Linked DNA regions of Xenopus tropicalis. The protein of the gene in region 1 interacts with the protein of each later gene in a pairwise test. Links are inferred from orthologs where the notes say so. Each region holds a gene or a part of one and is shown on either strand. Other genes may lie near its edges.

Evidence for each region.
Region 2: the proteins of tnik (region 1) and srgap3 interact in a two-hybrid assay, tested with the Homo sapiens proteins (2 studies listed by BioGRID and IntAct). The link is inferred for Xenopus tropicalis from reciprocal best matches to the Homo sapiens genes TNIK and SRGAP3.
Region 3: the proteins of tnik (region 1) and sptbn1 interact in a two-hybrid assay, tested with the Homo sapiens proteins (2 studies listed by BioGRID and IntAct). The link is inferred for Xenopus tropicalis from reciprocal best matches to the Homo sapiens genes TNIK and SPTBN1.
Region 4: the proteins of tnik (region 1) and agtpbp1 interact in a two-hybrid assay, tested with the Homo sapiens proteins (2 studies listed by BioGRID and IntAct). The link is inferred for Xenopus tropicalis from reciprocal best matches to the Homo sapiens genes TNIK and AGTPBP1.
Region 5: the proteins of tnik (region 1) and ppm1e interact in a two-hybrid assay, tested with the Homo sapiens proteins (2 studies listed by BioGRID and IntAct). The link is inferred for Xenopus tropicalis from reciprocal best matches to the Homo sapiens genes TNIK and PPM1E.
Region 6: the proteins of tnik (region 1) and myt1l interact in a two-hybrid assay, tested with the Homo sapiens proteins (2 studies listed by IntAct). The link is inferred for Xenopus tropicalis from reciprocal best matches to the Homo sapiens genes TNIK and MYT1L.
Region 7: the proteins of tnik (region 1) and dpysl2 interact in a two-hybrid assay, tested with the Homo sapiens proteins (2 studies listed by BioGRID and IntAct). The link is inferred for Xenopus tropicalis from reciprocal best matches to the Homo sapiens genes TNIK and DPYSL2.

Annotation. Positions count from the first base shown.
Region 1 is NC_030681.2:111,604,030-111,608,180, reverse strand, and holds part of tnik (TRAF2 and NCK-interacting protein kinase), read right to left. Parts: coding exon 4,139-4,151; intron 3,663-4,138; coding exon 3,576-3,662; intron 1,480-3,575; coding exon 1,288-1,479; intron 1-1,287. UniProt on the Homo sapiens protein: Serine/threonine kinase that acts as an essential activator of the Wnt signaling pathway. Recruited to promoters of Wnt target genes and required to activate their expression. May act by phosphorylating TCF4/TCF7L2.
Region 2 is NC_030680.2:131,638,017-131,642,167, forward strand, and holds part of srgap3 (SLIT-ROBO Rho GTPase-activating protein 3), read right to left. Parts: intron 1,864-4,151; coding exon 1,636-1,863; intron 413-1,635; coding exon 339-412; intron 1-338. UniProt on the Homo sapiens protein: GTPase-activating protein for RAC1 and perhaps Cdc42, but not for RhoA small GTPase. May attenuate RAC1 signaling in neurons.
Region 3 is NC_030681.2:24,111,982-24,116,132, reverse strand, and holds part of sptbn1 (spectrin, beta, non-erythrocytic 1), read right to left. Parts: intron 3,712-4,151; coding exon 3,467-3,711; intron 2,295-3,466; coding exon 2,156-2,294; intron 1,812-2,155; coding exon 1,727-1,811; intron 847-1,726; coding exon 650-846; intron 1-649. UniProt on the Homo sapiens protein: Fodrin, which seems to be involved in secretion, interacts with calmodulin in a calcium-dependent manner and is thus candidate for the calcium-dependent movement of the cytoskeleton at the membrane.
Region 4 is NC_030677.2:134,720,521-134,725,381, forward strand, and holds the start of agtpbp1 (cytosolic carboxypeptidase 1), read right to left. Parts: upstream 2,900-4,861; 5' UTR 2,866-2,899; intron 2,735-2,865; exon of another isoform or gene 2,623-2,734; intron 100-2,622; 5' UTR 66-99; coding exon 34-65; intron 1-33. UniProt on the Homo sapiens protein: Metallocarboxypeptidase that mediates protein deglutamylation of tubulin and non-tubulin target proteins.
Region 5 is NC_030678.2:95,294,057-95,298,207, forward strand, and holds part of ppm1e (protein phosphatase 1E), read right to left. Parts: intron 1,322-4,151; coding exon 288-1,321; 3' UTR 1-287. UniProt on the Homo sapiens protein: Protein phosphatase that inactivates multifunctional CaM kinases such as CAMK4 and CAMK2. Dephosphorylates and inactivates PAK. May play a role in the inhibition of actin fiber stress breakdown and in morphological changes driven by TNK2/CDC42.
Region 6 is NC_030681.2:134,547,545-134,551,695, forward strand, and holds part of myt1l (myelin transcription factor 1-like protein), read right to left. Parts: intron 2,735-4,151; coding exon 2,651-2,734; intron 1,091-2,650; coding exon 869-1,090; intron 1-868. UniProt on the Homo sapiens protein: Transcription factor that plays a key role in neuronal differentiation by specifically repressing expression of non-neuronal genes during neuron differentiation.
Region 7 is NC_030679.2:128,069,077-128,073,227, reverse strand, and holds part of dpysl2 (dihydropyrimidinase-related protein 2), read right to left. Parts: intron 1,287-4,151; coding exon 1,102-1,286; intron 774-1,101; coding exon 609-773; intron 25-608; coding exon 1-24.

The DNA.
Region 1 (4,151 bases):
GTTGGAGCAGAGCTGTCAGCATGAGTAACCATTTGTTGGCTACCAGTCTTGGAGTTGTATTTCAGAGGCAGTCGGAGAGGCACAGGCTGGCTACATATGTTTCAACACAACTTATAACTAACAAGACATTAGTAAAAAAAATTCACATAAAAAACATGAGCCAAAAAATATCTGTTCAGTCATAAATGCTCTCTAATATTCACATCCTTCCTTTCCTACTTAGGAAAACATCTCTGCTGGATGATTACAGAATAACTGTGTGATTGCTGGATAACTATTAATAACTACAAAATAACAATGTCCCACTTTTTCATCTACGTAAAGAGGACATAAATCAAAGAGTGAAGGGAGGAGATAATTTAAAATAATAAATACAGAGGACTCCTATTCAGAACACTTATAATGAGAGGGTTTATTCACTTGTGACTGCATCACAATTTTTCTAAAATGTAAAATATTTTGGCATTTATAAAAAAAAAAAAATTGTCCTTTCATCTCTTCAACTCCTGATTAAGAAATAATATTCCACAGAGACTATCTTATTTTTCCTTCAAATAAAACGTATTCAAGGGTTTTGGAAGGAGTAATTCCTCATAACCTTGCTAGGATCTGCCTTCTTCATTGACCTCTGCTATATATACCCAAGCAGGGACTTGAAGCATTTACTCCCCCAAGTATACATTTAAAAATCAAGTGGACCCTATGGCATACTACAGATGCAAAGATCCAAGGATGGTTAGGTATAAGGAACTCATTGAGCTACCATCAGTCAACCCTAACGCCAACATCAAAAAGCTAAAAGCAAAACTTCTGATATATGAACACAATGACCCTCCCCCCACAAGGCTTTGTTTAGGTTAAATACTTTCCTTACCTTTCGGATGCTACTAGAAATAATCTAAAATATTTAATTCACATTCATCAGCTTTAAAATGTTCATTTGTATTCTTCATGGCCATTAAATCAAATACAGCAAGTTGTAATTGATGTCCAACGAGAATTTAATCTTACAGAGGTACCCAGCGCTCCCCAGTGGACAGAGGGAGTATTTTCAGCACTTTAATACTAACCAGTATCTGCAGTACATGATGTCAGCCTACATTCTAGGTTTGGAGCTGTGTAAGTTACAGTCACACTGAATCCTACCCAGCCTGTTATTAAAGAATAAACATTGATGAAACATTCAAAAATTATTAATACTTGAAATACACCCAATCGGTCAAGCAATTATGTTACTATTTCATGCTGAGTTCTGTTAGCCCAGTTGGGGCACAATGGCTGCCATACCTCTTTTGCCCATGCTGGTTTCTCTGCAGGGTTTAGCCCTTCTTTGTAATGATAGAGTGGTTTCTTCTCAGATGACCTCTGTTGCTGCTGTTGTTGTTGCTGGAGAGAAACTAGGTAATCTCGCTCTTGCTGAAGCTGTCTCTGAAGTCGCTCTGCTTGTCTCTGTTCTTCCAACTGCTTACGCTTATACTCCTTTAAGGAAAGGTAGGTAAAAATCAGTCACAAGGCAGATGTTGACTCTTTGGCCCATTTCTAATTGTTGCAACCAACCCACCAGAGACTTTTCTGAATAGGTTTGTTTTTCTCCACAAAATAGAATGCCAAGATGTTTGACCTTATTATAGGATGTCAAGTGAAAATAAAAAGAAAGTATTTAAAAGGTAGGAATCTGAACTTTGTGGAGAAAATGCAAAAACAGTGGCAAGTTAGCCTGGAAAGCAAACTACACTCAGACTTGCTCCAACATAAACAAAAAAGTGGCCTCTCCAATAAAGCATAAGAAATTCTTTAAGGGTGTTATCTTAAAAGGTGAAGTTAAAACGTTTTCAATTCACGACTTGGTTTTTAATAAAGGCTTATTTAAAACCAGCTACATTATTTCCATTGTAAGTAAAACTGGGATGTTATGTGGGTTTAAATAAACAGGAAAAAAGAACATTTTGTTTCACAAATCGTTTTAATGACGTAACAGGATGGTAACAGTCTTTGATATCAAAGAAGGTGATTTCAGCTGGATACGTATAATAAGTTTGTCCCACTGACTTCCCATCTATGATAATTGCTGTTGTTGGCAGAGGAATGGTGTGCCTACGGCATATGAACAACCCGCCAAGTCATACGCGGCTATGCAAGAACCACTGAAGCATCCTTAGTCCTTTTGCTCAATGCTAATTCTGCAAAGCCTAAAGCGAGCACAGCTCTCCTAGGGAGCACAACAGCCATAATTCTGCTTCATGAGAACAAAGGTGTGGGTTTGTGAGGCACAACAGCAACTGACAGCTTTGCTGAACAAAAGGCTACACAGCATTCCATTACCTTGCAGGCCAAGGCTTTACAAGCCATAATTACATGCAATGGCAATGCGCAAGGAATAAACTTATTTCTAGACATGATTCATTTGCCTTTAGTTGCAAATCTGTTAGCCTGGCCCTACTTTATTAAAGTGATTTTTATGGCATAGTTTTTTCACTAAATTACACTGTTTACATTGCAAATAATTCATTTTCACTTTTAAGAAATGTCATTATTGAACCAATAATGTATTTTTAGTAGTAATATGTAGGCAGACATCTAGGGTCATTGTGCCTGAGCCTGCACTAAACAATAAAACTGCTTTCAGATAAGCTATGGTTTGTAATATTCAAAATTATTTCCCAACTTGGCTTCCTATTTCTCCTGCTTGGATACTATTCTCATAACTACCACTACGTAGCGCATGGGAGCATTTTTAGCAATGCAAATAATTTCTGACTTCATTTTGATATATACGGCATTGAAACCTGCTTTCTCCAAGCTTCAGATAACCTGCTTTTTGAAGGGTGAAGGGGTCTGTGCTGTGAGGAACCAATCCTTCTCACTATATTTAATATATTTGGTTTGTATATTTGTATATAGTTTGTTTGTGTTATCACTATATATAATAGGAGCATGGAGGAGCAATCACCAAACAAAAAGACAACATGCAGAAGACAATCCCATTTCTGCATATTATATATATATATTATGCTTGTTTGGATCATTGACAACCAAAAAGCGGACTAATCTCGAGTTTAGATTTGAGTTGTTACGAATATATTTTATTGTTCTATTCATCTGTCATTATCGGGTGACCTGACCATTTAAGGAAATATATTAAGCAAATGTTGCAGTAGTACAAATGTTAGCAGAAAGTGAAAATGCCTGAATTTATAATTCATTAAATGGCCACTATACTCTGGAAGAATAGTGATTAGTACAGGGGCATTTAGATCACCGTGACTCTCCCTGAAAGGATTATGGCACTCTGGCATGCTATCACATTTATAGGAAAAAAAAAAGACACAAATGTATTGTAAAAATCTAATGCGAAAAAAACCCTTTAGTTCCAAATCATGAAAACCTATTTTAATATGAAGAAGATCCTCTCTGTATTATTTTTAATGAAACATATTGGTACAAAGTATTTTAATGAGTGCAACAACATGCAAGGCACTTGTTCTGAAAGATGAGAACTTTGGACATATGACCAAGAAGTAGTAGGTAATGCAACACACAATGGCAGGAATGAACTGGGGAATGACTCCCATTACCAGAAGTAGAGCTTGCTCCTGCAGTAACTGCTGTTGCAATATCTCTAACTGCCTCTGCTCCTCCTCTAATTGTCGCCTTATGTATTCCTGGGTTGTGCAGCAGTGAAAGAGAAAGAAACGAGGAGAAAGAAGTGATTGAGCAAAAGAATTGTTAGTACCTTAGACACCAATTACCAAGAAAGAAACATAGCGGGTATTCAGAGCAGAGAGTACACCAGTTAGAGAGATAAATTCATGTTAAACCATACATTTATACAATGCTGCCCAGTGTTTGTACATATAATTTATTTAGTATTTGATGGGAAATGCCAAGTGTAAATTGTGTTCTCAGTTCTTAATCAGTGCCATCATTAAAGTGTCCATAATAGCATCAGAAAGTGGTATACAGTATTCTGCTGCATATTCTCTCCTTGAAGGAATCCATACACATAACTTACTTTACCTGTAGAACGTTACTGATAAAATGAAGTGATGGGAAAAAACTACTGCATTTTGTTGACAAAGAAATACATTTGGGTCAGCTGCCACTGAGCGTATCAGTGGAGCATCCTACATTGGCCAACCTTCTCATGTTCT
Region 2 (4,151 bases), on another chromosome or scaffold:
ACCAGGTCCCATAGTTGTATAGTTGTGATACAACACATCTCATATACAGTGGTCATTATTCTGTTCTGTAAGCAGTTATATTGACCACCCAGTGGATGTTAATTAAAGAAAAGGGGGGTAAGGGTTAAAGGTGTTAAAAAAACAATGAAAAAAAAAATGAGATAATAACACTCAGGCACCGAAACTGCACTCACACTAATGCCGAATAAAGATGTACGTAAACCTCAACCTTATGAGCTGGTAGGTGACTGGATGTCAGACCACAAAGAGGGACGGGAACCCTATGAAAATGGGTGTTTGTGTTGAGTTTTTGTTGGGTGCCTATTGTAGGCTCTTACCTTCATCACTAGTGTGAGGCTCTGTGCCGTTGTCACCCTCATCGATAGCACCCGGCTCACTGTGGGGACTGTCACTGTAATGAAACATAAGCGCCATTACATCCAACATCCTTCTGCACTATTGGTGGGGCTGAACCCAACTGGCATCTCATTGGTTAATCAGCTTTTAGCAATAATAAAAGGGAAAGCATTGTACACGCAGTGCCCTCTAATTATACCTTTCATCAGAGACCACTAATTAATTACTGTAATATATAATTTGTAATAAGCTCATCTCTATTTCCAGACGAATGCTGTAACAAATGAGATGAAACCCATTTAACTGAATATTCTTCTTTATAAACACAAAAATAACATAATTCTATTCCCTATAGAGCAGACAGAAAATAGTAACCTTACAGACAGCACCTTCCAACGGCAGAATGCATTGTTAGAACACTCAAAAAACATGAGAGCTGTCAGTGCTATTTTTCCACAGAGCAGGAATCATGATAATGAGAGTTTTATTTTAATTTGCTAATGTCATATATGTGTAACGGGAGCGCCTCCTACTGTCCAGTCTGGCCTGGGGCCAAGCAAAATGGCAAAAGATTCCGTTTCTGATGCTTCTATACATCATGCCCATATAATGAAATCTAAAAAAAAGAAACTAATGTAAAATGCACCTGTTATACAGATGTGTAAGTGCAGTGTGTAAAGTGCTTGTGTGTACAGTGCTTGTGTGTAAGTGTGTACTTGTGTGTAAGTGATTGTGTGTAATTGTGTAAGTGCTTGTGTGTACTTGTGTGCTTGTTTAGTCTCTCTTTACCGCTACGCTGCAAGTTGGAGTGATATCACTCTCGTAACAAGATAACAGCTCCCTCACACCTGTATTGCTAAAAATGCTCCAATTCCCCACCTAGTGGCAGATATGAGAATAGCACTCAATAGTAAAACACCTAAATCTGACCCATGACTCCTCCAGTTACACTGAGTAGGAGAAACAATAGCTTATCTGAAAGCAGTTCCATTGTGAAGTGCTGGCTATTTCTGAAGGCACAGGATCAGGCACAATGCACTGAGATAGCGCCTACACACTAATATTACAACTACAAAAAATACATTTATTGGTTCAAGAATAACATTTTGAATGGTAAAATGAATTATTTGCAATGTGCACAGTGTAATTTAGTAATAAACACCATAAAAATCATGACAGAATCCCTTTATTAAAAATATCCAAGGCGCAGGTCCTACCATGTGAACAAGAGATGAATAACGGGACTAATCCTGGGTACAATGAAAGAATAGTACTCACCAGTAATCCTCTCCTCCGGTCATGCACTTTTCATATACCGGCCCCTCCAGCTCACGATGACTGGGGAAGATGGATTCGTGGCTGATGATGATGGTTTTGATGACCTCATTGACATGTGCTTGGCAAGACACAGGATCTTGCCCATCTGGGATAGGCATCAGGGTTGGTCCAAAACAGATGGCTAGGTTGTATGGATCCATCATGTTCTCATCGCTGTACTGTGATAAACTGCGGCAAATTTCATTGAGATCAAGTCAGTGAGCTGCTGAAATACTATTATAAATATCAACTCTGGCAAAATAAAGATCCCTTTATAGTTCCTGGTCAGCTATGGGCAAGCAAGCAACCAGGACTGCTGAACTAAAAAACCTTGGACACAGATCACATTAGTGGGTCTTCTGCAACTGCCTACAGGTCTGGGCTGAGATTCCAAATAGTCCCTGGCATTCCAAGTACACAGAGGCCCAAACAGCCCCCACCAGCCCAATAAATAGTGACTGTCTATAGAATTTTACAGCAGCCCCTCTGGCATTCCCAGAACCCACAGATTGCCAGTCTGGGGCCAATTATGTGGACAGTCCCACCCAATTACTGACATAAAAAATTTTACATTGCACACAGAAAATATATTGACACAGACAGACATATATTACAGCAGCAGAAACCGCTACACATTATACCCAATATACATTTCTGGACCTGGTCCTGTTTTGTAAGAGCCAGCAAGCATATATATTAGTAAATGCCAAACTGAGCATTATCTAGAACACTGAGCCCTCTGGCATGAGTTTCTGAGAATTTAGATATGGAATTATTACCCAGATCAGATGGGACCTGGGGAGCAGCTTTAAAGGGGTTGTTCACCATTAAATTAACTTTTAATTTAATTTTTAGTTGGTTTTAATTTTTTATTATTTGTGGGTTTTGGGTTTTTTCAGTAGCTCTCCAGTTTGGAATTTCAGCAGCAAACTGGTTGCTAGGGTCCAATTTAACCTAGCAATCAGGCAGTGATTTGAAAGAGAGACAGAAATATAAATATGGGTGGGCATAAATATAAAGGTAATTAATAAAAAGTAACAATAACAATACAATTAAAGCCTCACAGAGCAATAGTTTTTGGCTGCCGGGTCCGTGACCCCCATTTGAAAGCTGGAAAGAGTCAGAAGAGAAAGGCAAAAAAGCTTAAAAAATTATAACAAATAAAAAATGAAGACCAATTGAAAACTTGCTAAGAACCAATTTTTCTATAACATACTTGATGGTGAACAATCCATTTAAGGCTATTAAAACATCTATATATTCATTATTACAGAAAAAAGCCAATCCATAGAAATAAACAAGTGTTAGTTTAAATGGGAAACTTTCTTGATAATGGGTTTCCAAATAAAAATCATAATTGTCATATACTGTAGATCCCTCCCAATAGAGTCCACAGGAGCTGGTATTTGCCATGCAGCCATTATAATTACATAGCCAGCACATAGTACATTAACTGCCCCTATGCCCAGTTATTACAATACACATTTTACTCCATTTACAGTAAAAGCAAATACCCTAAATCTCTCTACACAAAACAGCACAAACACCTAAACAATAGAACCCTAAAAAAACAGCTTCCTGCAGTCTCCCGTAAATTGGTGTCACAGTATGGAAACATTTATACTATTATAGCTGAGTGGGATTATAATAAGACAAGCAATCTGGTTTCTCCTTAATAACAAAATGTCAGGGGCTTGGCATTCCTGAAGACGCTGTATGAATAGCACTAAACAGATTGTAGACTGAATTTACAGACTAAAAATAACCCTGGAAACAGCTCAATATGTTGCTCTGACTTCAGGGAAATATTACACCTACGAGCGTAGGCCAGCATTGCAGTGTATGTAGTGTCGCTATCAATATAGTGTTCAATTGTACATATAAACTGACTAGGAAACCTGCCATTCCGCTCACTGTCACTGGCAGCTGGACTCTTGAGCTTTAAGGGAAAGACCAGCGAGGATAAACCCCTGGCCCATTACCATTAGATATACAGGTATAGGATCCCTTATCCGGAAACCCATTATCCAGAAAGTTACAAATTATGGAAAGGTTATCTCCCATAGACTCCATTATAAGCAAATAATTCTAATTTTTAAAAATGATTTCCTTTTTCTCTGTAATAATAAAATAGTACCTTGTACTTGATCCCAACTAAGATATAATTAATCCTTATTGGAGGCAAAACAATCCCATTGGGTTTATTCAATATTTGAATGATTTTTAGCAGATTTATGGTATGGAGATCCAAATTAAGGAAAGATCCCTTATCCGGAAAGCCCCAGGTCCCGAGCATTCTGGATAACAGGTCCCACACCTGTACTATGTATTTTCTTTCTGTGAGCTTTTTTATTTCATATTACTGGGCTGGGGTGCAGGGCTAGGCCCATTATTCAGGGCTGATGGAGGTTTTCTCACTGCATTGGTCTCTATGGGTTTTTAAGAAAAGCTTCAGCTGGATCCAAGCCCCAACCCAT
Region 3 (4,151 bases), about 87 Mb from region 1:
AAAATTATATTACTGTGTTATGTAGTATACAGTAATTTGACATGTTTCCATAGATATCCCTGAGTATACTGTATAATATCTGTACCCTTCCACCAAGTGGTGTCTGTATGGGGAGGAGGGAGGCAACAGAAAAAATGTCTACAAATGCTCAGGACAAGAGATTTCATGTAAGGAATCAGCCTGTAGACTGGGATAGTGCCTAAAACTCAGCCCACCAATGAGGCACTGCCTGACAGAGGTAACACCAATGAGAGGCTTGCTAGCCTAACAATAGAGCATGAATCAGTTCACTGTAGGTGATGGCCCACTCTCTAGCACTTCAGTGTTCCCCCAGAAACATGATCCAAACATGGCTTTAAGGTTTTAAAGTCAAATTAGTGACTATGGCCTCAAAATGCTGCTGCATTGGACATGCTCCTGTATGGTTTTCTCATGGGCTTTGTTGGGTTAATATTCTAGTGGCTATAGAAAAATGTGAATTAGGACATGTCAGTGACGGGATTAATGCAGAGTGAGGAATCAGTTTCTCTAACTAAATATAAAACCCCTTTTCTGTTTGTTCCACCATTACGGCAGTCTCCGGGTCATCAGCAGTAAAGCTGCAGCGAGTGGAATTAGTAGACAAGAAAGAAAAGCACAGTGTCAATACCGTAGTGAGCCTTTCCAGAGCAGAAAACCTTTCATCCCAAGTAGCTGCCGATTTCTCAAATGCTTCGTGCCTCTTAATTAGTTTTTCCACTTCGTCTACGCTCTGGCCTATTTCCCGACTCGACAGGTATGGCTCTTGTCCAAACAGCCAGGCTTCTGCAACGCTTGCATCTCTGGAAAACTGGTGCACCTCCAGAACTGGCAGGAGAGAGTGGGGGGCAAGGGGTGACTTATTGGGGAGAGCAACTGTAATTTAACATAGTCTTTGTGCATTGGGTTTATGTATTTACTTGATGTAAAAATCTTCATAAATAACCTGTTGTTTGTATTGATAAACAATTCACTGATATTTTCTCATAGTGTTGCCACAGTTTTTGGCTTTGGTGTGCATGCAGGGGGCAGGACTGATGATATTGGGGTGGGTGGAAAACGGGTGGGGCAGGTGAAGTTTGGGGGGTGGGTCTATGGTGTGTCAATCAGTGATTGGTTGGTCGCCGCACCATTAAACTCCAGATTTTCAGTCCAGTCCTAATTTGGAAATCCTGACAGGCAGCCCTATCTAAACCAGGCTGCCTGGGTGAAACCCGGATAGGTGGCAACACTATTTTCACGCAAAGTAAGTTTTACTCACTCAACTCACACAACTGAGCGCATAAGTAGGTTTAGTGTTTGATGGTCATTAGCAGAATCAGTGATTTCCATATGCCACATTTAGTATCCATAGTGAGTTTCCATACAGCTGCTTTTGAGCGAAGGACTCTGACCCCCAAAATGCCTCTAGCAATAGCACATTCCTTAAAATAACCCAAAGCTACTGTTTAGGTAAAGAAAGTGTCTGTAGCATATTGGTAAATCACACTGCCCTCAATGTGGGGTACAGGGTAGTCAGTACTACCCCATTAAAGCAAGGAACTCATGTTCATTACTATACTTATTTCTATTCCAAATAGTGAGATTGTTGCAGATTCCATTTCTGAATTCTCATTACCCTAGGGCTGATGTGGAACAAACAAATGTTTGGCAGACAGTGCTTATATGGCTAACATGGTCTCAGCAATAGCCTCACACATCCACTTACTTAGTCGCAGCCATTCCCATCGATCTTCCCACTTGTCAATCATTTCTTTTCTCTTCTCAGTCAGCTGCAGCAGTTTCTCCTTAATCTGGAATAGGGTGAGAAAAGGTTACCCAGACACCCATAAGGAACTCAACTGTAAATGGCTCCATTTTAATTAAAATCTATACTTATAGCAATGAAATACTCAGAAATACAAGAATGTATAGATGAGAGACAGACAGAGAAAGTCAGGTAACATTAGAGTTATTTATTATGGCTTCAGTAGTATCAATGCTTTATGGGGTTATTGTATTCCTGGATCAGCTTCTCACAATATAAGAAACATATGAAGGGATGAGCCACGCCTGGCTTCTGACTAAGGGCTTTTGGCTTTGGGACAGTATGCATAGATCTGCATTGCAGCTGAGTGCTACATTACATTTCTCTTACCTCTTCAGATGCATAGTGCTTTCTTGCCAAGAGAGACTTCCCAAGCTCAATACATGTAGTAAAGCTGTCATTGCGGGCATCGATCTCTGCCTTGATGCCCTGGTGATTGTTCATCAGTAATTCTACTGAGGAAACATCCCTGCACAAAGAATATTCACAACGAGTTTATCAATATGGAGTGTACATTGGTATATTCCTATGTAGGATATTCCCTCAGGCATATGGAGAAGCCCATTCCCATTATATTAATGCTACAGTATTTGGTGGCATTCCCTAAGACTTTGCTCCTCTTTACCTGCATTCAAACTATTTTCTTACAGGGGTTGTTCACCTTTGGGTTAACTTTTAGTCTGATTTAGAGAGTATTATTCTGAGACAATCTGCAATTAGTCTTAAATTTTTATTATTTGCGCTTTTTGGATAATTTTGCTTTTTGTTCAGCAACTCTCCAGTTTGAAATTTCAGTAGTTATTTGGTTGCTAGGTTTGGTTACTAGGGTTCAACTTCCCTTAGCAACCAGGAAGTGGATTGAATGAGAAACAGATATATTTATATCTAATAAATGATGAAGACCATCTGAAAATTTATATCTAATAAATGACGAAGACCATCTAAAAATTTGCTTAGAACTGGCCATTCTATGACATACTAAAAGTTAATCTGAAGGTGAACCACCCCTTTAAACCTCCCCTGCACTGTTCTATTCCACACCTCATGTATCATTATGGTTCCCACCCTATATACTAAGCTCTCACAGCCAGGGTCCTCTGGCCTCATGCCTTGATTTGTACCCACATTTGTTTTGTTTCTGCCATACTGTTTGTGGCAGGCTCAGGTAATTGGTTAAACACCCTTTAATGAGGGAAAAAGAAAAAGATAAATTTATTAAACACTGAATTTTAAAAACAGTAACCTGCCTAAGCCAACCAAGACTTTGCGTTTTTCTATACTGTGTCTGTGCACTGGAAATATGCTCTGTGGGCAATTCAAATTCTAAACTCACACATGTTTTTGTTAATTCTGGAATGCAAAACAAAATGTCTTTAATAGATAGCATGACTATGCTGGCTCTACAGGGAGTTTAGCTAGCAATCCTACAAACAATCCTTAAGGTTTTCACTGCAGCCTTTATTAATGTATATGGAAGGACAGATTATATTAATGAACAGATTCCATAATGTGTATATATGTATAGTGAAATTATATGAAATCACATTACTGGAATGCAAGCAGCAGTTTATAGTAAGGATTAGTTAGAATGGGTTTCTGTATAATTAACCCACTGGAGATAATTGGGCAAGCTGACCATACCTTGGCTTCTCTTGGGCCTCGATCTGACGGATCACATCTTCCATCCACAACATGAGATCACGCACCATGCTGAAGAAGCGGAACTTGTCCCCTGTGTCGACCAGTCGCAGCCTTCGCCCATCGCATGCATCCAGTAATGCTTTCCATGCCTCCAGCACCTCACTCTCTCGCTTCTGGATATCATCGGCTTTGTCTCCGGCATAAGCAGCCTGCAGTCGGGCAGCATCTTCCTGAAGTTGCCTAACCTGTGGGTTTAAAAAGAACCTTTTAGCTAAACTTGGACCGATTACCTTAAGGGGTAATTTACCTTTAAATTAACTTTCAGTATGTTGTAGACCAGTGATCCCCAACCAGTGACTCGGGGGCAACATATTGCTCACCAATCCCTTGGGTGTTGCTCTCAGTGCCCCCAAACCTGATGGTAGTTATATTGGAATTCCTGACTTGGGGGCAAGTTCTGGTTGAATAAAAACAAGATTTACTACCAAATAAAGCCCCCTGTAAGCTGATAGTGTGCATAGAGGCTGCCTAAAAGCCAATCGTAGCCCTTATTTGGCTCCTCCATGAACTTTTATGGTGCTTGTGTTGCTCTATAAGTCTTTCTACATTGGACTGTGCTATTCTGGAATTGTGTCTTTAGAATTATTTAGCTTTATATTCAGCAACTCAACTCTCCTTTAGCAGC
Region 4 (4,861 bases), on another chromosome or scaffold:
TGAGCATGAAAAAAATAATCATTTAGAACTCACCATTTGTCTGCTGTTGCTTTTGCTTTACTCATCTTGAAGAAGTCATTAATTTTATCATTTCACTTCCTGAAAACAATTACAAGATTGTTCAAACAAAGTTAGATAACAATGGAACTAACATATAGTCATAGTTTTCTTGGGAATAATTAAAGGTTTTGTAGGCAATAATGAATACTATATGGTGGTGGTTTCACTCTGGGCTAAACATTATCAGTATCTTTAAAAACAGCCTATTTATTGAAGCTATCTACATATCTGCTATTAACCCTGATTGTGTTTTACATAAGGTGTGGGCGTGTCCTAACGGATGCATCCAAAAGCAAAGTAGGAAGGGGTAGCCAATCGTAGCCCTGCAGTCACACAAGCAAAGACAGGCCTCAGTTCCCCATCAGGTCAGCCTAGCTACAATAAGTGCTGAGTGCCGCCCTGCACAGCCTGAGAAAGGAGGCAGCTGACTAGCTGATAGGCTTTTGAAAAATGTTTCAATAGGCCAGCCCGAAACAACTTTACTCAGCACATTCCTTCAATTTTTAGTATTATGAACCGGCACATTTCTGCTCTTGGTTGTATAAACAAATCCTTTGTGGTTATGGGTGATGTCAAATTAACTAGATCCCTACCCATTCAGTGAAGAAGTAGTACTTGACCCAATGCAACTTATCGTTTGACATGATTTAGATAATTTGAACTGATGTGTCAAAGCTGCAGTATAACATCCTATTCAACATAAGTTCAATGAATAGGGCTAATAGGGTAATCACTAAAAATCTATGTTTCTTGTTATTTCTTGATCTAAACAGAGCAGTCAGGAAAACTGAAGCTACTGCTTGTTTGGCCTTGAAAGGTAGATAATTAGAGTAACAGTACTCAAACCCTTGTCAAGGCCCAAGGGCCTCAGAAGTCTGGACCAATGAGGAAGCTGAGTTCAAAGAGTCATATCCAATGGGGTTAAAAAAAACTCAAGATCATATTCAGGCAAAGGTCAGGGCAGGCATCCATCAATCAGAGCCAGAATAAAAGCAGAAAGTCAGGAAACTGGAAGATCAAGTCAGAACAACAATTCAGGCACACTCAGGAACTTCACCAAGAAATACCTATATTTGGGTATTGTATCTGGGTCTCTGGCATCTATTTATTTAGAATTTTTACACTGAAGCACAATGTTCAGCACATGCCCTATTCATGTTAAATCATAGGTATAGTGCCCTTTTAAGTACTATAAGGCATGGTATGTTGGAAACACTACACAAGCACTTATATTTGCCTATTTGTGTCTGTTAGTTACCCCTCCCATATAGCTTGTAAGCTCTACGGGGCAGGGACCTCCTTCATCTTGTGTTTCTGACTCTTATTGCAACTGCACTTTGTATTTATTGTATTTATTGTTGTACTTTGTATTTATCCATTATCTTTAACCCCCCTGTCTGTATTAATGAATTCTACTGTACAGCGCTGCGTACATAAGTAGCGCTTTATAAATAAAGATATACATATATACATACATACAAGCGCCATGCAGAGTAGTGATGTATAGGTTGGAAAAAAAGACATTTTAAACCCTAACCCGATGCACCGTCATTATTCATATAACCACACTAGACACAACCCACCTGGCAGGGTGGGCCATGGGCAGAGTTTGGTCTGTCCACAACCTGCTAAAGTTCCTAACCCACCCGATCCACGGCCTTCGGCCCAGCCCACACATCACTAATGTGTTTGTTCAAAGAAACAAAATGAGGCAATATTAAACAACCTGCCATAAAGAAGCCAGAAATTTAATTTGTAGTTCTGCAGCAACAACTGTTTGGAAAGTGCTGATAAACATCTAACTTCTAATGCTGGCCATACACAAGGACATTTAAGCTGCCGATTCTGCCCCTTCAGACCAAGCATCATGTCATCAAAATCACTTCTCAGCTTCAAAAGTTACCCTAAAATAGAAAGTGTCCTCTGTCTGACAAATATCCTATCCAAAGCAGGAACAACAATATTTTTTATACATTGTAAGATCTCTGCACTTAACCAAGAGCAGCAAACATACACATACTGAAACAAATATTAATAAAAGTATAATCAGTGGGACAGACAGAGAAAGTGAAACCTTACCATTTCAAAACCTACCGCTATGTACTTACAAATAATGTATTGAAACACTGTCTTCTTATAAGGCAAATTTCCCCTAATGAAATAACCCAATATTTTCTGCACAAAACCCATTCTATGTGCAGTTAAAAGATGCTTTATATGTTGTGTGTGTGTTTTGTCTAAAAAAAAAAAAAAAAAAGAAAACTTAGCCAATTCCATATTGTATTACTGCAGAACAGAATCGCAAAGGGAATAAATATCGTTTGTGGCTATGTATTTGTAATTAATGGCCCTTGTACGTGAACAGTCTCGTGCAAGTATTTAAAACTATTGTGTAATTTGCTACAAATGGGGACGTAGCCAACTCACATCTACACTGAGCATTAAGCAACAACACTGACAAGCACCACAAGCCACACACAATGCAAACATGATCACTATCAGGGTTCCCCTGCACCTGTTTGCTGCACCCCAAAGCCCCCCATACAGTACGAAGTGGGTTACCTTCCCTCAGTCAGCCAGCCACTTAGAAGACACTTGCTCCATGACGACTCATTGTAACACTGAAAACATCCATGCATTAGTATAGGGATAGCAGGGACAGCAAATACATCTGTGTTCAGCCACCACCCTCCCTACCGAATTCTGCAGCTCACTGACAGAACAAGACCCCGTAATCCAAGTAAATACATACTGTCCAACAAATGCTTTTCCTACCATAGCCAGCAAGCCCGCATCACCACTTACCCCTCCTGCAAAGCTGTCAACTGCAGGCTCCCAGCCTCCTGTCTCACAGAAAATCCTAACACTGCAAGTCTCATCGCGCGAGAATGGCGTCACAACAACTCAGCGCAGTGACACAGTAGCCGCCTTGTGGGAGCGACGCGTCGGCGCATCTTAGCGTTACACAGTCGGAAGCTGCTACCTGTCTGCGGTAGTTCAGCTTCCAGTCTTTTTTACCTTTCTCTCTGTTAGAAAAAAAATAAAGATATTTCTTTCGTGTTGGTTGACCGCCATGGCCTCATCAACTCGCAATTTTCCTCAGAAGTCATTTATAGTTGCTGCTCAGAATCCCAACTCTGTGCTGGTGAACTTTATGAAAGAGAGCGTTTTGACCGAAAAGCAAAGTGGTTCCACCAGGAATCTTTTTTGTTTTGTTGCTGTTGTTTGTGTAACCCCTTCTTGGCTGTAACCAAGCCAACAGCACCGCTAGTGACACTGTAACTGTGTGCAGTGCAGAGTAACAAATGGGCGCCAGAAGGTTCTTGCAGTTGTAAAATAGAATTGGTTTATTGTCAGACAATCAATATGCAGGGTTATTACAATATACTCACACAGAGGAGATATCAGGTAATTGTACAGAAGGTAGAAAAATATGGTGTCCACCCGTATAGCCCACCTCAGCCGAGGGTGGGGAGGGTAAGGACCACCAACCAGCACGGCCTCCCTGCGGAGAGTAGCCTGGCAAAGTATCCGTATCCTCAGGGTGTCCCTTAGCAGCCAAGGATCCCTCACAGCCGACTATGGATCAGGGAGAGAAACTGACCTGATACCTGCGTCTTAATTGTTTCCTGCTCTTTTTCATAAGGATATACTCTTAGTAGTATGTGCCACTGGGTAATCCTAGATAGAAAATTGCCATTTTTAATTGCTAGGGGCCACCCCAGGCGATAATAAGATTTACAGTGCACACAAACAAACCAAGGTCACGCATACATGTTAGGTCACATCAGCATTTTATGGAGGGTTTGTTTTTCTAATGCAGGAGAATCATTGCTTTAGCTGCTACTAATAGCAGAAGTAGGCACTCCCCTTTAGTAGAGTACAACACTGCAGAATAGGTTTACATTTAATAGTAGGATCATTGGTTCGAACTAGTAAAATAGTGGGATTGTTAAAGGCAGGGCCGGAACTAGGGGTAGGCAGAAGAGGCAGCTGCCTAGGGTGCAACGATTAAGGGGCGCCAGGCAGGAGCCTCTCCTGCCTACCCCTAGTGCTACTTTGTCATTGCCTCCGCCGCTTGTCATTAGCAGTGGAGGCAATGACCGATCTAATCGCTCCGCCCCCCCTGCACCTTCTCCTGTGCTTTGGCGCGCATGCGCCGTTCGGGTTGGGGGGGGCGGGGAGGTGGGCCGAGTTGGCTGACCGGGTTGCCTAGGGCGCCCGGTTGGCTTGGCCCGCCCCTGGTTAAAGGGCTTAGTGCTCTCTGGCCCCCTGTTATAGTATGTCTCACATATCTGTTTTGCCTGGTCCCAGAAGGGGGTTACTGGGCACAGCAAACAAATATATTCTTAGTTTTCCACCTCTGTTTCACATCTCCAGCAGCTGTTGTTGCTTTGTAGAATAAGCAGTTCTTTTCACAAATATACCTTTTTAGTAAGCCAGAACTTGGGTATGAATTTCAAAGGTGACAAGACCTAACAGATGGTATGTATGCCACAAGAAGTAAACAACACTATTTAGTTACAGGGTGATGTGTGGCTTTACAACACAGACAACTTAATTACTTTTCTGCAGATAAGAACTACAGAACTGCACTGACTAGGAAGACTGTAGCAGCCCACAAAAACAGTATGCTCTGTATTGACAAAGCCCTTTTCAGTCATGCCTAAGCCCTTGTTTCTTTCCATCTTACTCTGTATTTATCAAAATCAAAACCATTTACCTCTGGACCAAAATATGTTGCTATACATTGTGTTGGTGAGAAGAAAGATACAGCAACTAAATAAGTTGGCTAGTTTGG
Region 5 (4,151 bases), on another chromosome or scaffold:
GCTAAATGCTGCCCGATGTAGTCATTGGCCTCAAGTGGGAAGTACTATGGGTAAGATTAATGACATGTATAGGGTTAATGACAAGTGGTTCCCATTGTCTGAATTTAACGCTGAGTTCTCTTTCTTGAGAAACTGTTTGTTTTCCTTAAGACAGGACGCCACACTGTACACTGCATGGGGTGAGATCAATACACTAAGTTATGAAAAGAATGCCATTTAAATCTAGGTCTATCTAACCTAATTCACTGGAACACTACAATTATATAACTCACAAGGTTTGTAGATTTTTACATTTTATAGCTTCTATGTAGATCTGCCAGTGCTATACAGTTGCTCTCTCTTAACAATGCTCTATTCACCAGAGTATCTTGATGACTACCTTTCCTACATCTTACAGAGCTATGCATTGATACCCTATTTTTAACAACACTTTGCATGGGCACATTTTGAACTTTGTAACAAGGCTTTTGGGAAGAGCGAAGCTGTGAAAACTTTGGTTTTGCCTTAGTCCCTCCTCTCCTCTTTCTGAAATGTAAGGGAGCTAAATGAAAGGGGGCCTTCATCATGGCTTCCAAACATTTATCTTTTAAATCCCAAGAAGGACAAAGTGAACCCTCCTTTCTGGGCATTAAAATATCAATACATCCCAATCCTTGACTGCTGGAAACGCCTTCACGAAAGCCTTTTTCTAAATAAAATGAAGACCCTTCTAAAAGCTCTTTCCTTCCACTGGCTCTCTTTGGTGAGCTAGCACTGGTCACTTGGGAGCATGGTAAACATTTGGCACTACGCGGTTTGCCATCACCCCCCTGCAATGGGTTTAGATAGTCTTGCTCTTCTAGAACTTTTACTTCAGGGCCAAGACTCAAGCTAGTTCTGTCTGTGAAGGAATCGCGCCCATCATAGCCTCCAAGATCAGCCGGCGCTGAGCACTGGTGAAGAGGCCACGATCCTTTACAATCTCCTTGGTTCTCTTTATCATCTCCATTGTCTTCTTGACCACCGTCAAAAGAGTTCTCAGTTTGGTTATTTTCTTGCTCAGTTGCAGTTGTCGTGTTCAGGTCCCTGAGAAATACCACAATCACGGTGATGTTATCACTTGAGCCAGCATCACGAGCAGATGCCACCAACTTATGGGCAACCATGCTACTATCTCCGTTGTTCTCTTTCAGATGGTCAGACACCACTTTTACAGCTTCATCAGGGTTGACTGTATCATAGAATCCATCACATGCCAGAATGAGGTAATCTTCAGAGCCATCAAGGACAGTGGAGACAGAATCAGCATCTCCACAAATATATGGCTTGTGCTCTGCATCCCCTGTTTACAAAAAAAAAAAAAAAAAAAGAAAAACAAAACCCTAAGGGTGTTTTCTTAAATTTTATCTCTAAATACTTGTTGTCAGAAATTTCTTATATTTTGAATTATTATAATAAAAGCAACATATACTCTGCTTTAATTTGTGCCTTCCTTAATTTGAGACCCGCAACTGCAAAAACATTTTTTGGGCATTTCATTGCTAAAAAATAGACTGAAAGCCAATGTGCAAGGGTGACCAGATCACTTGAAAACTCAGGGACGCTTTTTTTGGGGTTTTTTTTCTCAAAAAAAAACAGCTAGCAGGGCTGAACTGACTGCAGTTTGTTTAAAGGAGAAGGAAAGGTAAAACTAAGTAACCTTTATCAGAAAGGTCTATGTAAATACAGCCATAAGCACTCTCAGAAACGCTGCACTGACTTCTCTGTCAAAAGATTTCTTGTGTCTGTAATTCATGTGCCAGAGACACGTAGCTTTCTGCTCTCTCCCCTCTCCTGCTCCCCCCTCCCTCAAGAATGCTAAAAACTCACCCCCCCTTAGGAATGTGGATCTGAGCCAATCAGCAGAAAGCTGACTCATAGTCTAACTGAGCATGTTCACTTTGTCTGGGTTTCTGTGCAGGAGCAAGGCATTATGGGAACTTTCTTTACACAGCTCAGCCTTTATTCTTCCTGTTTGGCTTCTGATCATCTGAACAGGTGAAATATGGGGAGACTTAAGGGCACTATTGAGACAACTGAAGGTATGCCTGCAGCTTGAGATTAACTCTTTATTAGCCTTTCCTTCCCCTTTAAAATGCAATCAGTGCTTCCCTGCAACATGTATTTATTAGATTGTGGATTTGTGCGAGGGAAGATCGCCGTATCACCGTATTTGAAATGACCGGATGCAAAGTTTTACAAGGTATTTTCTAATAAAGCTTTCAGAATAATAAACGCTGGGAAGGATAGGACAATTATTGGAGCAGGGTAGAATAGATTTTTTACTTAAAAAAATTTAGTGTTACTTTTCCTTTAATGCAGTTATTTTTCCAGTGTGAAAAGTATGTTCCACAATACCCTGTTGTTTTTTTTATTAAAGGAGACATACAGTTGCAAGAAAAAGTATGTGAACCCTTTGGAATTATATGGATTTCTGCACAAATTGGTCATAAAAAGTGATCTGATCTTCATCTAAGTCACAACTATAGACAATCACAGTCTGATTAACCCTTTCACTGCCAGCCATTTTGAACAAAATGGAACTTCTACTGACAGACAGTTTTTGAACATTTTGCACTGTTTGACTTTAGGGGCTTTTCCTCGGGGGGACTTTTAGTTTACCCAGGAAAACTATATATCTTTTTTCAGGACAACCTAAGCTTTCAAAATATGGTGGAATTTCTGTGTAATTCCAATTCTGTAACAAGATATAGGCTTCTAGATGTCTAAAAAATGAAAAAAAAAATATTTTCCATAATATAAACACATACACCAGAAACAAAAATTATTTTATGCATGAAAATACAACTGATTTGGAAAGTCCCATGTCTCCTGAATGTGCCAATACCAAATATATATAGTTTTATGGAGATTTCTCACTTGTATAGGTCAAAAACTCCCAGCAGTACACTACCAAATTTCCAAAGCCCTGTTTCAGAAAGCTGCATACTTTAAAATTTCAAGGCCAAAAATTCCACTAACAGAAGGTTTATCCCAGAAAATTGTACATTTTTAGAAAGAACAGATTCTGGGGAATACAGAATAGGCACAACTGTCTGTCTTCTCCAAACTACCAAGTTGCAATGCTTTCCTAAAGTTATTGGTTTTTATCAAAATTTGTGAAATTTCTTAAAAATCGCTTCAAAGCTTCCTGTCTATAGTATCTTATCTCCTACAGGACATAAAGTAACCAGATAAAACACCCTAAATATGAATGCCTGGGGTCCACTGAATGGTTTGATGCCCAATATGTATAGGTTTACTTAAGTATGTGGCATGTAGGGGCCCCAATGGGAACATACCCCCATATGATCTATCATTTCTGTCATTTCAGCTCCTGCAATATCAACAAATTTACATCATTTATGTAGGATAAAGCTAGTAAAAAGTACATTCACCCCAGAAAGTCATATATTTTTGGAAAGTACACATTCCCCGAAATCTAAAATGGGTACCCATGTCTTTCTACTCCAAAGTACCAAGCCACAAAGGTTTGCTGATTTTATTACATTTCCAAAAATCACCTCAAAACTTCCAATATGCAGCATCTTATTTTCTATAGGTACCAAGGTAAAACACCCTAAATATGAACACCCCAGAGGTCTACTGAACAGTTTAATGCCCACTGTACATAGGTTTATCAAAGCACATGGCACTTAGAGACCCCAAAATATACCTTGTGCACACTAATTTCATGGCTTACCTTTACCTAATTCATAGACACATGGCAGTTTTATGTGGGATAGAAACTGCAGAAATGTAGGGTGACCCCCTGAAAATCATATATTTTTGGAAAGTACACAATCTGTCAAATCCAACATGGGTAAAGAGTCCTTTCTACACCAAAGTACCAGTCTGCAAAGCTTTCCTAAAGCTAGTGGTTTCTATGACATTTCAGAAAATCGCCTAAAAATGCAGCAATTTGCCGCATTTATCTCACACACTTATCTTGCATACAAAGGCAAATCACCCCAAATAGTAACACCAGAGGCCTACTGAACAGTTTGATGCCCTATTATAGATTTATCAAACTATGCAGAGTACAGGGGCACCCAAATAAAAATAGGGTATATGAATTTTCACATATGATGCTCCTGCTAGTGCAGTTTTTGCACCCGGTATGTGTATTATGT
Region 6 (4,151 bases), about 23 Mb from region 1:
AGTTTTAGAAAAATAAAACCCCAGGAAAGCTTAAAGTACAGGCATTTTTAAAACAAATTAATCAAGGCTGAAAGGAGCTAATTATACATTTATATCTTAATATCGGAATTGAATGAATAGGTTTGCTCCTCTTCATATAACAAGATCCTTATATTTCTTCTATTGTTCTATTCCTTCTAGTTCTTCTCTTTTGTCCTTCTTTTCTACCGTAACCCCTTGTTTTTGCTTTACTTGGTTTCCACTTTTTATTCAAGAAAACTTCGGATGGCTTTGGAAAACAAAGCACCATGTATGTGCGGTGACTAGTATATAGCATAGAGACTTCATGGTTACAATATCTGTAGCATGTAGTAAAATGTTATAAATATATAAAAACACCCTTTGTATCTGATGGTGATAAACATTTCATGTAGCTGCATAACAGTTAGTCATTTTAGTTAGTAGAATTTTTTTGTCATTAAACATTTTTTCTAGGATGGATTGAGTGGATCAGCATCTGTAGTACTGTTACTGTTTATTGGCTATGCTCAAGAGCTAAAAATGTTCAGTTGATATATGAACTGAAATGACCAACTGGGAGAGTGGTATAAAACACATGCTCTACCCTTATCAACCAAACAGTGGTTAGAATTAACTGGTTTACTGCACTTGAGATGAAAGGAAACATTCAGATGACCTGTCCAAAATGTAGATGTCTAATGAATGGGATTTAGTGGTGGAAATGTTACAAAAATTTGCAAGATGAAATTAAGGCACCATTCATTTATTTGCTTATAAAATGGTGCATAATGCCTGATCTTTTCAATTCATTCATAAAATGAATGAAAGTCAGTTTATTGCATGGTTTAATTGCAGTCGTGTGACATACCTGCGATGTGTAAGAAAACTACCACTGATATGTCCAGAGCCATCACATCCAGGAGTGGGACATGACATGCCCTCTGTCTTTCCAGATTTCCAGGAGAATTGAGATCCATTTAAATAGCCATCTTTCTGTCTCTTAGCTGCTAGCGGACACCCAGAAGCACTACGATGTGAGGCGTACTTTCCAGTGACGTGGCCTTGTCCATCACATCCAGGCACTGGACACCTGCATAGTGTAGAGAAAAGATTTGTTCAACATTTACATGAATATCCTGGAGCAAAAGATACTCAATTTTCATGTTTAAAATTCAAATTACAAAGTTGTATTTGTAGAGTTATATTTGTCTTGGTCAACCACTGAGCCAGTTTCAAAATGTTCCTTAGTACAAAGTAAAAGACTTAGTATCTCACTGTACAGGCTATGTGAAAAACCCAAGGATTCTTTCTGCTAATGCTACACCTGGAGTGTGCCTCCAATTATGTCATACAGGCTTAAATGACACAATAGACCTTGCCCCCAGCTAGCTTCTTGTAAGGAGATTATAAGCCAACGGGAAGGTTATGGCGGGTGATAAGGAATGTTGTAGCAGAGACAGCTTGAGAAAAATTGAGTCTCAGCAGGAAGACTGAAACAGCAGGTAGGATAACTTCACAGAAGCAAGGGGAAAGGGATTTATATTATTGCAATAAGAAATAATTTAACCTGTTGACTGATAAAGTATATGAAGGCTGCCCAAGAAATGACACTATGCTAAGGAAATGTACCGCTGTGATGTCTAACAGAAAGAAGTATATTTCTTGTTGCTTAGCTTTATTAATTAACCCAAGCTACAGATTAGCTTAAGCTATGATGGAATAGTTTGCTAGGTTCATACCCTCAAAGTAGATTTCGTCAAATCTAAAGGCTGTGGCACACGGGGAGATTAGTCGCCCGCAACAAATCTCCCTTGTCGCGGGCGACTAATCTCCCCGATATGCCATGCCACCGGCGAGAATGTAAATCACCGGTGGGGTGGTAAAGTTGCCTTGAGAGGAAACTTCTGCGGTTTTGGCATCGCGTATGCCATCCCTCCGGTGATTTATATTCTCGCCGGTGGGATAGCATTTTGGGGAGATTAGTCGCCCGCAACAAATCTCCCTTGTCACGGGCGACTAATCTCCCTGTCTGTCATGGCCCTAAACAATCTACAGAGACTGCTTGGAGGGTAACACCTATGGGTTCATTATCTGACCCAAAAGTCAGGCTTATACTGTTGGGTACCGATACAGCTAACTGGCACAATCGGCACACTTTGGGAATCCATGTGCAGGTATCCCAGATCTCAAGCAAGCGTGGTCTTATTGGAAGCATAAGTCTGGTGTCTTCCAGTGAAAAGCATATCACTCTCCCTGATGGAACTTTGTTTGGGTAATAGAGAGTTTTGAGATGGGAGGGTTGAAAAAGATAACGGAGAGGAATAAGGATATTGTGAATGCCATAAGAAACAGGATATTGGGGATGACACAATAGAGAGGAGTAAGGATATGGTGTAATGTGTTACACTCAACAGTATATGTACAAAATAAGAACAGCTATGGGGAGATGCACTACAGGAGGGTTAAAATGGTAACAAATAATATTGATAATTTAACTACATATATGAAGCAGATTCTAAAGAGTCTAGCTAAATGTACATGACAATAGACTAGTGGCAGCCAATATAGACAGATTAGGCATATGTAGCCACAGAAATGTACGCAGTGTTAAAAGTTACAGCTCTTTACAAGATGATCATTGTTAGTTAACCTAATTGGTTCTTGATCTTCTTTATCCTCCTTGCTTTGTGCTATCTTGATGCCACTTTTCTTTGCTCTTGGACAACCTGAAAGACTAATTAGAAAAGAGAAGACATTTCAGCCCAGGAAAAAAGGAGCAATTACTGAAGTGACATGCACTGAATATTGTGTGGGACAAGTTTGAAAGAAAAAAGTGGGAAAATGATACCTTTCTCTTATTATAAATAAATGTAATTCCTCACCATTTAATCTAAACGCAGGGCAATAGCTGTGGGTGATGGGAATTTACTTGTAAAACTACTTCAATCAGTTTAGGATTTCTAATTCTAAAACTACGCACAAGGATGAACCATCACAGACATACGATTAAGGCCAAAGCGTGTGATACACCGGTGGGTCAAAAGGGATTCTGGGAACAAATTCCTTAAGGATCTTAGAAAAATCCCATTTACATGGGTTTATCCTATAGGCTAAACCTCACCCACTGGGTTTTCAAAGCAGAAGCCAGGATAATAGCTGATCAGATTCCCAACTACAGACCGGTTTCGCCCTTCTTGGGGCTCATCAGTGTAGTGCAGGGTTTTCTGATAAGCTTAGGTAGAGCCAGGAGTGGGACAGCACTTCTGCAATCAGGACCACAGGCTTCAGGACATGAAGGTGTTAATTCTAAAAGGGAACTTTGGAACTGAATGAGAAAGGAAGATCTATGAATTCAAATGTATGGAGTTATTCAACACATTAAGACAGGGCCTCAATTTGGGGTCAGGTTTCATGTCACACTATCTGACCTGACTGAATCCAGGCCCCTGGACTATTTACAACCCACCCTAATAAACATTAATTATTATCTTCACAAGTTATCTCTATCTATCTGTAACTTCCTAATTTGTTGCTCGTGAACACTTCTCTCTGATCTATCAGTATAAATGTTGTGCCATTCCAGTTTTCATTTGTATTTTGCCTGATGAAGGGGCCTTAGGGCCGGAAAGCTTGCAATGTATTTTTATTGTTAGCCAATATAGGTATCATTTCTACAATACTCTCATATTTGAGTTTTTTTTATGAATTCTTCTGTAAAAATTCTTTAATGTGAGCCAGTGGGTTCCTATTTCTGTTGTACAAACAGTGATAAAAGAAAAATTGGGACCATTGATCCTATTCAAACAAATACCCCAAGACAATTCTATAGCAAAGAAAAGTGAATTTTAGTTTATTAATTGAATTACCAAACCTTTTAAAAAAAATCTTATTTTTTGTAAATTGTTTATTGTTTGGGAATCAGCATCAGGTAAAATAAAGCTGAATTTTTCCTATACGTTTTACTTTTAAAGGTTTATCCTTGATTTTAATGGTGTAACAAGGGTCTGCTGTGTTAATATATTTAATTATGACAGTCGTTGCTTCCTCCAAAAATATTTTGCTTTTAGTCTGAATGAGCAAGAAAGAAAAAAACTCTCTGCCAAGAGGTGCTTGGGCATGGAATGGCCCGAATAGCTGTTGTCTGAGGAATA
Region 7 (4,151 bases), on another chromosome or scaffold:
TGTAAACCAGGAAGGAGTTCACTCCTAAAGGAAAGACAATGAGATTTAGAAGGATATATAAGCATGGAACCTATGGCAGGGCTGCCATTTAGAAACCACTGGTATCTAATGTCAACACACAAAGATACCAGGGGCATTAATGCTGGGTCCTTGAGTCTAGGAGAAAGTTAAATGCCTTTTAAGTTCTTATTTACCCTATTTTCCTATATGAAGCTGTGTTTATTTTTGGAGAGTTCCTTCAACCCACATTATCTGTTTACAACTGTTTAATGTGGTGGTGGATCTATAATGGCAAGGGCAGCTATCTCATGAGAGTCATTAGGTCTCAGGATTGTTCTGCATGGCTGTATATCAGGCAAGGAATACAAGGCCATTTTACTCAAGCAGGTGCGTCCTATTGTGCAAACACTGATTTTTGTGCACTATTGTGTACATGCTGTAATGTGTAAGGGGCAGTGTTTTGATTATATATGCAGCTGGCATGCAGTAGGTATATGAGTTGGGCACCCCCACGTGGTAAGGCACCCACCCATCTGTTTTATCTGTAATACAATGGGTGGGTTTGCCCTGTCTATTCCATAATTCTGTTATATTCAGCAGCTCCTCACCGTGATCCTTTACAAGAGCCTCCATCTCCTCTTGAACACCCTTGTGCCATTCAGTGATATCGACATGCAAGGAGTAGTCGCAGCATGACTTGGTGTCTGCCCATTCCCGCCACTGATCAAAGGCGCTAAGCAGGCTGGAGCCAGGTTCGGGCACAACATGATCAACTATCAGCATCAAAGGAAAGGAAAAAAAAAGATAAATGAGGCCGTAGGGTTCTATTAATTCAACGCATTCTCACAGCAGACATTTCAGTAGAGAGACACTGGATGATTATTCTAGTATTTTGCACATCTGCTAAAAGGCTGAAATATTCTAAAATTTGGCCAAATCACATTGATCCCAAAGGTCAGCCAAAAAAAGTGAATCTTAAGGGTAGCAGAATGGATTTGTGGGGGAATAATTGGAAGCATCAAGCTACTGAATTCAGTACACTCTGCCGAAGTCTCTCAAGGGGCCTGTTATTAATGCACCCTTCCATAAGCCCCTTCTTACTGATCATCGTGGTGCCCCCTGCCAGCGCTGCCTTGGTTCCTTGGAAGAAGTCATCAGAAGACACCATGCCGTTGCATGGTTTCTGGAAGCAAGTATGGACATCAATGCCGCCCGGGATCACCATCCTACCATGAGCTTCAATGGTCTTCACGCCCCCCGGCACAATCAGGTTTTCGCCAATCTGCCTAAACAGACCCCCGACTACAGGTAAGTAACACAGACCTCACTTACAGGCCAAACAAGCAGAGAGAGTAGAAAACATGAGACCATTACATGAAACACAGAGCGGGTCAGTTACAAGTTACCATCCAGGGATGACAGTGTTGCAGATAAAGCATCAGTGGAATATTCTAACCCCCCTATGTAATAACCGGCACTAAGTTTACCCAGTAGCAGTAACTTAAAGGAGAACTAAACCCTAAAAATGAATATGGCTAGAAATTTCATATTTTATATTATAAATTGGCTGCAGTGGCTTAAAGTTTCAGCATCTCTATAGTAGTAATGATATAGGTCGTTACAGTTGTCACAGGAGCTTCCCATCTTGGAACTGTCCGGGACAGTGCACATGCTCAGTGTGGTCTGAGCAGCTGTTGAGAAGCTGAGCTTAGGGGTTATTGCAAATTAGCAAGCAGTAAATGAGGGTTGTCTGTCATATAAGCTGATGCTACAGGGCTAATTATTAAATTCTGATGCTAATGCCCTGATTTTAGATCTGTCATGTAATGTGAATCTGAATGAATTACTAATCCGCTTTTTACTGTTACATTTATACTCTATTTGTGAAGTATATTTCGAGTCGGTCCCTAAGCTAAGTAACTGACAGCAGCACAGAGCATATGTAGGGAAGCAGCAGAAAATAAGATGGGGAGCTACTGGGGCATATTTAGAGGCACAAATCTTCCCTGCTAAAGGGCTGTGGTTGCCTTGGCTGGTACAGAAACCCAAAACATAATGTACAATATGTCTGCCCTACTTCTTTAGTTAGGCTTTATTTCTCCTTTAAAGCTGCCAATAAGATGTCTGCTTTTAAACAGGTGACCAATAAATCCTACCTGCTGATTGGTTGCTATTGGTTACTGCTCCTGGGAAAACTAAGTGCCTTTTATTACATAAACCCCATTAGAGTCTGCAGCAATCCAGCAGATTCAATATTATCTCAGAACAACCCAGAACATAAACGTCACCATCTTACAACAGGGGAATGAATGGAAACGTAGCCATATCTAAGCACTTTTGCAAATTGCACTACTTTTTCTGTTATCTGTTATCTGAATGAACCCCAGGCTAGAAGGGCCTAATGGGCTGACAGCTTAGCGCTGGCACAATATACAGACTGTGGGAATGCCTGAGGAGTGCTGGGAGTGCCTGCTGGAATGTAGCGCACACAAGTTCCACTGACAGGCTGAGCAATGCGCAATTTAATCATTAGAGTTCCTGCCAGATACTGGCCCTGTGCTCATGTGCTCACGCCTGGAGCTCTAGTTTTGTAATAATTAACCATTTGTTTATGGGCTGTTTTGAATTGGACATTTTGCCAATAACCTGAAAGTTCTTCTATTCTTTCTGCAGTTCTATAACTGACCATAATGATGCTCCTTGCTGTACAGGCCATTTATCTAAATAGGGATGAGAACACTGGCACTGGCATTGTGTGATCCACCTGTACTGAAAAATGCCAGTGCCAGCACTGTCACACATTTTCATTTAAACTGGAGCTGGCATTAGCCAATTTGGCTAAAAACACCTGTGGAGAATATGGCCTTTATTATTATTATTATTATTATTAATAACAATAATAATATGTATTTATAAAGTTCCAACATATTCTGCAGTGCAGTACAAAACGTGGGTTTACACATTGGACCTACAGAATTACATACAAAGTAACAAACCGGTACAAGAAGTGAAGAGGGCCCTGCCCAAAAGAGCTTACAATCTATACTACGGCACTTTGGATAATGGCACACATGGCATTTTCTCCTCGTAGTAAAGCGCTGACAGAAATGGCAGAGTTGGGCCAGAGTAAAGTCATGATCTGTGGGGTTGTGAAAGGGGTGAGGCTCATGGAGAGTGGACATGGGTTTGGGTGGATCATGGGCAAGATTTGGCATAATTATGGAGAGGACAGGGGTTTGGGGAGATCATGGGTAGGATTTGGCATAATTATGGAGAGGACAGGGGTTTGGGTGGATCATGGGTAGGGTTTGGCATAATTGAGGAGTGAACAGGGGTTTGGGTGGATCATGGGTAGGGTTTGGCATAATTGAGGAGTGAACAGGGGTTTGCGTGGATCATGGGTTGAATGTGGCATAATTGGGGAGTTAACAGGGGTTTGGATGGATCATGGGTAGGGTTTGGCATAAATGGGGAGTGAACAGGGGTTTGGGTGGATCATGGGTATTATTTGGAATAATTGGGGAGTGGACAGTAGTTTGGGTGGATCATGGGTAGGGTTTGGCATAACTGGGAAGTAAACAGGGGTTTGGGTGGATCATGGGTATGATTTGGCATAACTGGGGAGTGGACAGGGGTCTGGGGAGATCATGGGTAGGATGTATGTATGTATGTATGTATATCTTTATTTATAAAGCGCTACTTATGTACGCAGCGCTGTACAGTAGGATTTGGCATAATTATGGAGAGGACAGGGGTTTGGGGAGATCATGGGTAAGATTTGGCATAATTATGGAGAGGACAGGGGTTTGGGTGAATCATGGGTAGGGTTTGGCATAATTGAGGAGTGAACAGGGGTTTGGGTGGATCATGGGTAGGGTTTGGCATAATTGAGGAGTGAACAGGGGTTTGCGTGGATCATGGGTTGAATGTGGCATAATTGGGGAGTTAACAGGGGTTTGGATGGATCATGGGTAGGGTTTGGCATAAATGGGGAGTGAACAGGGGTTTGGGTGGATCATGGGTATTATTTGGAATAATTGGGGAGTGGACAGTAGTTTGGGTGGATCATGGGTAGGGTTTGGCATAACTGGGAAGTAAACAGGGGTTTGGGTGGATCATGGGTATGATTTGGCATAACTGGGGAGTGGACA